Linked DNA regions of Coturnix japonica. The protein of the gene in region 1 purifies or fractionates together with the protein of each later gene. This does not show direct contact. Links are inferred from orthologs where the notes say so. Each region holds a gene or a part of one and is shown in the gene's direction. Other genes may lie near its edges.

Region 1 (5,413 bases):
TGTGTTTAGTAATACTTGCATAAAGTCAGAACAGAAAGGTTTCATGAAAAGAGATCTGAGATTGGCTGTTTTAACCTGGCTGTATCTTACTGACATTGGATGTGTCATGTTTTTCTTGAGCCACATTCATGTGTTGTGCTTCACCGTTCCTTTGGAGTAGGAAGTTCTTGAAAGACTTGCTGTTTTCTTTACCTTTGTTATTGAAGCAAGTTTCCGAGTCAGTCATTGGAGACCTTAGATGGCAAGAAAGTCTTCATAGGATCAAAAAAATAAATCTTTATAATCACAGTGCAAATTCAATTAATGCACTTTGCATTCTAGGCAGTTCATCTGCTTTCCTCAGTATTGCATGTAAAATGTATGGCGTGTCTAATAGTTTAGTCTTCATTTTGAACAAGACTGAGTATTTTAGCTGTAATGACAGGATTTAGAAGGATTTTAAGGCAGATAGTGGTTACCCTGAGAAGGCAGGTCAGGACCACTCCTGCACTTTGTGCCCTGAACCAATGATCTCTCTAAGCATTTGCAAAGATTGCTGCTCGTACTGCCCACAACTGTCATGTTAGTGTTCATGTATAGACCTATATCAATTTCAGTTCCTACTAAAGTATTTTCACATTACAGGGACTTTAAAATGAAATAATTCATAGTTAACCTGTGCTGAAGCTAGTTCTGGTTGGGATTTGCAAACTACAAAGATTTACAAATGTTGAACAAATTATATGCAGAGGATACGATTCTGTGACACTTGGTGCCATCTACTGCTCAGTAAATAGAGTTCAGCTTATTATGGAAAGTTTAGGAAGGAACAGAATTGGTTTTAGCTTTTACTTGAACTTATCAGTATAATAGGAGTGAAGCTTTGGGCTCCACGCTCTCTTGAATTTGCTTACTTCTGCAGTAACCTGAACTGTATCGACGTGCAAAAGTTGTGTCACGTCTTTAAACTCTGACGTGCCACATTAGATACAGCTGAATAGAATGGAGCCAGGCCAAGATTCTCCAGGTTGTTTTGTACGTTTGGTTGACAGAAGATCATTTAAAATTGTTTATACTATTTTTTCTCTAACCTGAATTTGCATGGACAGTTTAAACTTCTAAAACTTCAGGAAGACTCTAATTAAAGACTTTTTACCCCAAAGGCAAAATGGCCATTAATGAGAAACAGTAGGTACAATTATCGCTGTACCTATGTGGAGCAGATAACTGATGGAGGACATGGTTCTGTGACTGAGTGGGGGAGGTGGGAGGTTGGTTAAAGGTGAGCACTGCACAGAGGTTGAGCGTTGTGAAGAGCTTGGTGTCAGGATGCTCACGGGGTGACCAGAAGCTACTGAACAGCAGCAGTGCTTGATTCAGTGCTTTGTTGGCAGCATTCTAACTGTCCACAGCTGATTGATGGGCGTTAGCTTGACCATCTCTCTATTCCTAGAAGTAATGATAAGATGATATGGTGTATCTCAGGGTAAATGGAAGTTATTAACTAATTAGCAGGGTCAGTGTGGTAGACAGTCTGATTTTTCAGATAGCTGCATTGGAGCTGGGGCTAAAGGTGTTACACTGCAGCATGTTTTCAAGTTTGTAACTTCCTCAGTAACATAATGCACAGACAGTTCTGCACAGTGGAATTAGAGGTCACTCCTGCTTGCTTGAGTTGGAGAGTTGTGCTGCAGTATGATTGATGGTAGCTGTGCTGTCATGTTTTCACTGAACTCTAGTGGTAGATCTGTGCATCTTTAAAAACATGGCATTTTAGCTAAAGAAATAAGCTTGAGTTGCTGCGTTAATTAATAAATGAGGGTTAAGATGCTGTGTGTACTCAGTTCTTTAGAAAATAAAGGTTGAATATAAAAAGATACCAGTATAACGCTATATACATACACGTACATGCATGCACACTTGTTGGTGATGCTCTGGATTTGGTGTATCAGTCATTCTCAGTTAAGAACCGGTTCTTAAGTATCACTGTACCAAATATTCTTTTAGATGTATTTTTGAAGTGTTAACGTCTGACTCGAAGCAGTCAACTGTAAAAATGCATAAATGATCGTTATTTTATTGAATCAAACTATTTTGTTATTTTGTGAAAAGTCAAATTTGTTTAAATTGTGACATTGTATATGAATTTGCAGTGAATGTGTGACATCTCAGGTAACTGGTTGGTATATGTACACATTGCAAACTTGAAGCGGCAGATTCTCCTCTAAGCAGGGTGAAACTGCAGCCTTGTCAGAAAGCAAAGTGCAAACATGGTATTACTGATTCATATATCTTACTCTAATTATTTTTATTGGGATGTTCCTTGATAGACAAGTGTACTTTGTGGCAAAATACAGTGTTTGTAATGATTAAAGCTTAATGATTCCAGTAATTCCAATACTTAATGCTTTTTGTAAATGTATTTTGTAAAACATGAAATAAACTACAAGTTGAGATTTTTTATTTAGATGTAGTGTGTATGACTCAAATTTGTTTTGAACCACTTCCTTTTCTGTTCTATCTAATAAATACAGTCTTCAACTATTTTACTGTTGATTATCTGATTTCTGAAGTTAAATATTTTCCTCTTCATCATTCTAATGGATTGAGTTGTGGGATGATTTCTTTAGGTTGCTACTTAAGAGCTGACATGGTGAGCATAAAAGAATATCTCAGTATATGAAATTAAGGGAAATAAGGCTTTGACTTATCCTATATTGCTAAGAACAACAAATTTCAGTGCTATTTTTTCTTCAGTCCTCTCCATAAGGGGGGGAAGCAATAATGTTGTTGCTTCCTTGCAGTCATACTCATTAAAATAAAATTAAATTGTTATAAATCTATTTTATTGCAGCATCCCCTTCACTATTCAGCGACTCTGTGAGTTGCTAACAGATCCTAGGAGGAATTACACAGGAACTGACAAATTTCTAAGAGGTGTGGAGAAGGTATGTATTTTTCTGAGAGAACACGCAGCTAAACCATCACAGTTACTATTTGAATGACTTTCAAATTACTACCAAAGGCCTCATGGATTCAGTATGTCTCGGTCATAGAACACCTAATAGCTACTCTTAATTGTGTGAATTGCTTCTGTATATTTTAACTTCAAAAGAGCTTGTGAAACAACTTGTGTAAGCTGTAACTGTTGTGTTTCCTACTCAGTGTACAGTACTCAGACTGTAGTTTCCGGAGGGTATGATGCCACTCTTCGTATTGAGTCCTAATTGAAAACAAATAATCAGCTGGAATAATTTATTTTTTATCTGTTACTTCCTTTCACATTTGGGTTCAGATTAGATGGAGGAGAAGGAATCCTTTCTCCACCACAGTGTCTTTTGTACTGGGTTTTTCAATCCTTTTATGTCACACAGTGTACCTTCATAAAATAGAAGTTTTAATTTGGGAGCTTTCAGAAGTAGATACTGGACTTTCAGAATGTGGTTCCACATTGCATTTTCTTGATAGCAAAATTAGCTTTAAGTTTCTACTCAGAATATCCAGTCAAAGAAAGCTTAACTTTTCAAGAGTTACCTTTTAAAGGGGCCTTTTTTCACTATTGTAGAGGATACAGTCAGATATTCTTGCAAGTTCAGAAGAACATGGTCAGTAATAAATGGTAACATGGATTTTGCAAAGCAATGATCAGCCAAAATGAGTTCTGTGAAGCAGTACCTCAAGTTCAGTCTTTCATTAAGGTTAGTTTGGGTTAATTTAGGTGGCACTGCAGGGGAAAAAAAAAAAGGCCGCATATAATTGTTCTGAGTGTTGATTCCGAGAAGACAAATGTACCTAAATTTTAGGCTGGATTCCGAGATGTTAAAATGGATTTGGTTTTCAGTGCCATTGAAGAGAGAGAGATAAGCAAAACACAATTCGTTATTTCTGCCCTTTTCATGTGGGGTCAGGACAGTGTAACAGTGGAAGTAAGACTGTGCCACAATCAGCTTCTTGTGCTTGGATGCCCATGTGTACAAATGTAGTTTCTTCAGCCATTCAGGAGTTTTCCAGCACTGCAGAACGTTTTGTTTTGCTTTACAAGGACACTTCAATTAAAAGCTGGAAAGGCTTAGGCCTGAGGTTTAGTTTGGTCATCTTCGCAAGTAATCCACTCACAAAAATGCTGGCCTTTAATATAATTATGGTCTGATCTTGCAGAGCAGGAGCCTGACAGTTTTTCTCAATTTTTCCATCTGTTGATATCTCTAAAGAAAACTTGTTTGAAAGCACTTGAGCAGTAACCCTTGAAGTTCTGGGCTGTTGTCAAGAGCAGAAGTTTCCACTTCTGAGCACTTATCACATTTTTTGTGTATTACAGAATGTCATGGTTGTCAGCTGTGTTTATCCGTCTTCGGAGTAAGTATGATGTTCTTCAGTTCCTTGGAACTTCAATGTTGTATAAGTATAGTATAAGTATATATAAAGTGGGTGGAAGAATGAGTGCCTGTGCAATGTGCTTCTCTTCCTGATAGTACCAATATACAAAAGTAAGTACACAGAGTGTGGTTTTCAGTATAAATAGTTCAACAGTAGTAAGAGTGATCTGCACGTGTTTACAGATACGATGTAGTAATTTGGAAACATTTTTTTATTCACAGCATTCTAATTCTTATTTCTTAATTGTATTTGTTTAAGGAAAAATAATTCGAGTAGTTTAAATCGGATGAATGGTGTAATGTTCCCAGGAAATTCACCAGGTTACTCTGAAAGGTAAGTTTAACACCGGGAGTTAATACTTTCAATAAGGTTGTCACAGAAATAGCTAGCTCAGGTCCCTTATGTTTTTACCTATTCTCATCCCAAATAGACAGCGTCTTGGCACGAATACCAACAGAGGGATGGGACAGGAATGGTAGGGATACATGCCATGATCTTATTTGATGCATCTTGTTGCTTAGAACTTTTTTTTTAGTAACCTTGTTGCTTTGAATTTTTTTTACTGTACACTTTTTGTGTTACTGTTTCCATTGGAGGCTTAGTAATTGTATTGAGTAAAATAGGGAAGTGCGCCCACCTCACCATTGTATCTCCCAAGATGTTTTTGGAACTGATTTATAGCTGCTTTCTGCCTGTTTGGAGCAAATTCCTTTTAGAGAAGGATTGGTTGTTTTTTGGAGGATTTTTTCTTTTCTGTATTTGATAATTGATTTATTTTCATTATTTTTAAAGATCAAACGTAAATGGTCCTGGAACTCCCAGACCTGTAAATCGACCGAAGGTTTCTTTGTCAACTCCTATGACAACAAACGGTTTGCCAGACAGCACAGAACATAAAGAATCAAGTTTGCAGCAGACAGAAGATAAGAAACACAGGTTTGTGAGCAGTTAATGCATTTTGAGTTTCTATTATTCTCATCTTTTTTTCCACATACATTTTAAAAATACTTTAAAAGGGAATGGCCTTCCAGGTTACGTGTAGTTAGAGCAATATCTG
Region 2 (5,413 bases), on another chromosome or scaffold:
ACACCGTCTCGCTCCAGCTGGGAGGAGGATGATAGTGGTTGCAGCAGTTCCCGCCGCTCGCAGTGGGAGTCTCCTTCTCCCACACCTTCCTATCGAGACTCAGAGCGCAGCCACCGGGCGTCACGGGACACAGATCGGAGAGACCGGGACAGGTATCAGTAGTTGGGCATACAGGCTGTGATTTGGTGATCTGCGAGAAAGGGAACGTGTAAAATGAACACCTGTATTTGTGCACTGATTTCTCTCTTGTGCTGTTTTCTCAGGTCTGTAAGGAGCAAGTATTCAGATAAGACACCATTGCCCACCCCGTCCTACAAATATAATGAGTGGGCTGATGACCGGAAACACCTGGGGTCCACACCACGACTGTCCAGAGGTAGAGGTGAGGAGCCTAGAGTGGGAGGTGACAGAGCCCCTGTGTAGCGTTAGCACAGGTTTTGTGGGATTTCCTCTGCATGCGACAGCCTGGTGGGACTGGTCGCCTGTGCTGACCATCTCACTTTCTTTAGGGCGGCGTGAGGACGGGGAGGAGGGCATTGCCTTTGAAACAGAAGAGGAGCGTCAGCAGTGGGAGGACGACCAACGGGTAAGAAGCCTGGGTAGGGAGCAGGGTGCTCAGTAGTCACCAGGTTCTTGGCTGCTGCCACTTACCCCAAGGCACCAGCAGGATCTCAGTCTGTCACTGGTGTTGTACCAGGCCACTGGTAGTAGGCAGCTTTCTCCCAGTAGCCAGGTGGGGATTGGCACTAGAGTCTATCCCAGCTGGGCAAGCAACACAGCTCAGCGCTGCATCTCTCTCCTCCTAGCAAGCAGACCGGGACTGGTATATGATGGATGAAGGCTACGATGAGTTTCACAATCCCTTGGCCTACTCCTCTGACGAGTATGTGAAAAAGCGGGAGCAACACTTGCACAAGCAAAAGCAGAAGCGTATCTCTGCACAGCGGCGGCAGATCAACGAGGTAGGGGCAAGATGTGGAGCTGGCTGCTCTGAATGTACAGAGGCTGCTTGTTTCGTTGCCTCTGGAGAGACCCACTTGTTGATGGGCTTGGCTGACAGATGGAAAAAGGCTGTCCTTGTCCTGGCCTATACCAAATGAGAGGCTCAAAAGGAAACTATTGTTATGTTTCTTTGGAAAGTGCAGTCCTGCATCTCCTGCATGGGTTGGAATTTACCATTAGAGTGACTGCAGTGGATGAGTGTTCAGAGCTGCAGGAATCTGAAGGGCTATGCTATGCAGGGGGCATAGATTACATTGTTAAGACTGTCTGCTGTTCCTCTGGCGGACTCTCAGAGCTGCTTCCCTCAGCATAAAAGTAGGTTTGTCTCCAGGCTTTCTAACGTATTCAGTGTATGGTAGGGGCGTTGTAGATTGTTTGCCTTCCATTTCCTTTGAGACAATTCTGTTTACTCCGTACTTTATGTGGCTAGTCTCCATTTACCATACTTGTCTTCAGATAGTGTTCTTTTCCTAATGCTTATTTGTGGTCTCTGTAACCTTCAGTGTTACTCCTCCACATTCCAGGCTTACTTATTTTTGTCTTTGGGTCTCCAAGCTCTTTCCCTTTTGGGGAAGGAAGACCAACAGATTCAGCATTGGATCATTTCAGTGCTTAAAGCTGTGTACTGTAACTGTGGTGTGTATTGTAGTCAGTTACAGATTTGCCTTCAGTAGTTAACTGCTTTTAACTTTTTCTTTTAAGAATAAATGAAGCCATCCTCATTTGCTCATGGTGTTGTAGTGCTTTGCAGCTAGCTGTGTTACTTAGTTTATTGCCTTGGAATTAGTTTGGGTAATGTGTGGTTCTTGAATTTTGGATAATGGAAGGTAATAGTTAAAATCTTCTGATATGTTCTTTCCTGCAGGATAACGAGCGTTGGGAGACAAATCGCATGCTGACCAGTGGTGTGGTTCATCGGATTGAAGTGGATGAAGATTTTGAAGAGGATAACTCAGCCAAAGTGCATCTGCTGGTGCATAACCTGGTGCCTCCTTTCCTAGATGGGAGGATAGTCTTCACAAAACAGGTAGAAGCTGTGGCTAACGGTGCCAATGATGGGGAGCCTCACAAATGTGAGCTCTCTGTGTTGAAGCAATGCCTCTTTCCTTTAGCCAGAGCCAGTCATCCCTGTAAAGGATGCCACTTCTGACTTGGCCATCATAGCCCGAAAGGGCAGCCAGTTGGTGCGCAAGCACAGGGAGCAAAAGGAGCGTAAAAGGGTATGTTGAGACCTCACTGTACGTGTTATGTAATGCCTCACAGCTTTTGTTTGGACTTTGTAGAATATAAGCTTTGATGGTAATGGTAATGTGTTCCCCTTATTTGTGTGATCTGACATATCCTGTTAGTCCAGTTCATTGCATTGTCTCACGAGTAGCTGTTGTGACTTCTTTAGGCACTGCCTGGGATGTTAATTACTGTGCATTTGTGCTGGGGAGTGTGATCCAAAGGGCATTTGGATGGGGAGAGAAGAGCAAGTGGAAGAATACCGTGTAGCTCAGGCACAGTCAACATTCAGTGTGGTAGCAGGACAGATCTCACCATGTCTCAGCAAAAGATTTTTGAGAAAGAATATACAGGAAGGTGGTGTATTAGTCTTTGTGGATGTTTCCCTAATAGAAAGACTTTCTCTAAAGCTTACATGATAGCAGTTAGGAAAGCATAGATGTGTTCATAGTAAACTGAATCTGAGCTGGTGTACTGTGAGTGGAAAGTGGGAAGTCCTGTTATGAAGCGTGAGAGAAAACAGAATGGTGAGAGTACCTGTCGATACCTGTTAATAGTAGGAAGATTAGCTCTGGTTCAGATTGTTGTTTGTTTAAGTGTAAATATAATGGAAGGGTCAGCAGCTGAAACAGTATTCATAGAGGGCTGTTGATCATCCTGTGCTTGTTGTGTCTTTATCCAAACCAGTGTCTAAAAAAGTTCTGCCCCAGTTTGCTTGGAGGATGGAGACTTGATATAGGAAATGTGTGTTCTCTCCTTAAGCACCAGGGGATTGAGGCAAACATGATTTTCTAGCCTTAGGAGTAGGACAGAAGGAGAATGATTTTTCAGTCCCCGCTGTGGTACTTACACTGCTCTTTGTGCTTCCAGGCTCAGCATAAACACTGGGAGCTGGCAGGCACAAAACTGGGAGACATTATGGGGATCAAGAAGGAAGAGGAGAAGGATGAGATGGTGACAGAAGATGGCAAAGTAGATTACAAGTAGGAGCTTTTGGATGATTTCTGCCTAGCTGGTGGTGTTATGCCTATGCTACAGGCAAAGCAAAGTGTGTGAGGAGACAGCTTCAAGACTTCTCATGTTTCCTTAGGACAGAGCAGAAGTTTGCTGAACACATGAAAGAAAAAAGTGAAGCAAGGAGTGAGTTTGCCAAGAAGAAGTCGATTCTGGAGCAGAGACAATATCTGCCCATCTTTGCTGTGCAGCAGGAGCTGCTTTCCATCCTCAGGTATGACTGCTCGGTAACCAGTTGTAGTGTAACCCTGGGGCTTTGGCTTACATTTCAGGATCCCAAGTGAGAAATTTACCTAGATATGTGTTCTGTTTGGAATCTTTGAAAACAAAGCTCATTGCTTTGTGTGATTGATAGCAGCTCTTCTGCCAAAGCAGGACTGCTTTTGTGTGGCCAGCCAGGGCTATGAATGAAGAAGGCTGTCTTTGTGGTGTATGAATAAATATTGTTCCCCTTTCTTCAGGGACAACAGCATTGTGATTGTGGTAGGGGAGACAGGGAGCGGTAAAACAACTCAGCTGACGCAGTACCTCCATGAGGATGGCTACACAGACTATGGCATGATTGGCTGCACGCAGCCCCGCAGAGTGGCAGCCATGTCGGTTGCCAAGCGGGTCAGTGAAGAGATGGGAGTGCGTCTGGGAGAGGAGGTGAGTCTGGCAGCATATGTAGGCATGCAGCCTCTAGACAGTGCATATGCAGAGCTGTTGAAGACTTGCTGATATCTCTGCCCCCCAGGTGGGTTATGCCATCCGCTTTGAAGACTGCACGTCAGAGAGCACGATAATCAAATACATGACAGATGGGATCCTCCTTCGTGAGTCGCTGAGAGAGGCTGACTTGGACAACTACAGTGCTATCATCATGGATGAGGCACACGAGCGCTCGCTCAATACTGATGTGCTCTTTGGCCTGCTTCGGGAGGTGTGTGTGAGCCTGGGCTACAGGAGGACAGCAACACGGGGCATATGAGCTGGTCTTAGGGCAGAATATTGGCAGGGTTAGTGCTTCTCCCCCAGGTCAGAGCAGAGATCATGAACAGAGACTGCTGCATCTCTGACTGCACTTGATGCTTAAACATCTTGTTCTTTGTTTCTTAAATCTCCCCTTTAGTGTACTGCCAAAGGCTTGCTGGTATAAAGTAGCTCTAGTTACAGAGGTGTTTGCAGGTGTAAGACTTTCTCAGCTGGGGACAGCCTGTCTTTTTAACTGGACAGTGTGTGTTTTCGTACCATGGCATTAGTGGTTAGTGTTTCTAGAGTACAGTGGAAGCTCAGCCCTTTGCTGTTTTTTTCAGTAGTGATGGAAGAAGCCTGGACCCACATACAAATACCACTTGTTTATTGTCCTTTTTATCTGTTTTCTAGGTGGTAGCACGTCGCTCTGATCTGAAGCTCGTTGTCACCTCTGCCACCATGGATGCTGATAAATTTGCCTCTTTTTTTGGGAATGTTCCCATTTTCCACATTCCTGGGCGCACCTTTCCTGTTGATATTCTTTTCAGCAAGGTATGGTCAATGTAGTAGAGAGAGTTTGTGTTGTGAAGGGATTGTAAGGGTTGTAACTTGGGTATGCCCCCCTCTGCAGTGATCAGAGAGGAAATACAAGGGATAACTGTTATGTTGCAGTCTTATACACAAAGTGGGGCAGATGAGATTACTAGTGTCTGATGTGAACTGTGTCTTTCAGACACCGCAAGAGGATTATGTGGAGGCTGCAGTGAAACAAGCTCTGCAGGTCCATTTGTCTGGTGCTCCTGGGGACATCCTTGTCTTCATGCCTGGTCAGGAGGATATTGAGGTGAGTTGTTAAGCCATGAACCAACAACGTGCCCTTGTAGCCAAGAAGGCCAGTGTTATCCTGGGGTGAATTAAAAAGAGGCTGGCCAGCAGGTCAAAGGAGGTGACCCTCACTCTCTACTCTGACCTGGTGAGGCCACATTTAGAATACTGTGTCCAGTTCTGGGCTCCCCAGGTCAAATAAGACAGGGATCTCCTAGAGGGAGTCCAGCAAAGGGATACAGAGATGATTAAGGACCTCTGGGGCATTTCATGTATGAGGAAAGGCTGAGTAACCTGTGTCTGTTCAGCCTGTGGAAAAGAGTTGAACTTGATCTCCTGAGGTCCCTCCCAACCCCTACAATTCTGTGATTCTGATTTGTACTTTCTTAAT

What was found.
Region 2: the proteins of PPP4R2 (region 1) and DHX38 purify together in Homo sapiens (affinity purification with mass spectrometry; 3 studies listed by BioGRID and IntAct, counting the BioPlex papers as one, with this or other methods). This does not show direct contact. The link is inferred for Coturnix japonica from reciprocal best matches to the Homo sapiens genes PPP4R2 and DHX38.

Annotation. Positions count from the first base shown.
Region 1 is NC_029527.1:13,943,893-13,949,305, forward strand, and holds part of PPP4R2 (serine/threonine-protein phosphatase 4 regulatory subunit 2), read left to right. Parts: intron 1-2,833; coding exon 2,834-2,927; intron 2,928-4,297; coding exon 4,298-4,335; intron 4,336-4,614; coding exon 4,615-4,689; intron 4,690-5,148; coding exon 5,149-5,292; intron 5,293-5,413. UniProt on the Homo sapiens protein: Regulatory subunit of serine/threonine-protein phosphatase 4 (PP4). May regulate the activity of PPP4C at centrosomal microtubule organizing centers.
Region 2 is NC_029526.1:17,617,255-17,622,667, reverse strand, and holds part of DHX38 (pre-mRNA-splicing factor ATP-dependent RNA helicase PRP16), read left to right. Parts: coding exon 1-152; intron 153-263; coding exon 264-382; intron 383-509; coding exon 510-586; intron 587-806; coding exon 807-962; intron 963-1,867; coding exon 1,868-2,029; intron 2,030-2,114; coding exon 2,115-2,222; intron 2,223-3,099; coding exon 3,100-3,212; intron 3,213-3,319; coding exon 3,320-3,457; intron 3,458-3,704; coding exon 3,705-3,891; intron 3,892-3,979; coding exon 3,980-4,165; intron 4,166-4,608; coding exon 4,609-4,749; intron 4,750-4,930; coding exon 4,931-5,041; intron 5,042-5,413. UniProt on the Homo sapiens protein: Probable ATP-binding RNA helicase. Involved in pre-mRNA splicing as component of the spliceosome.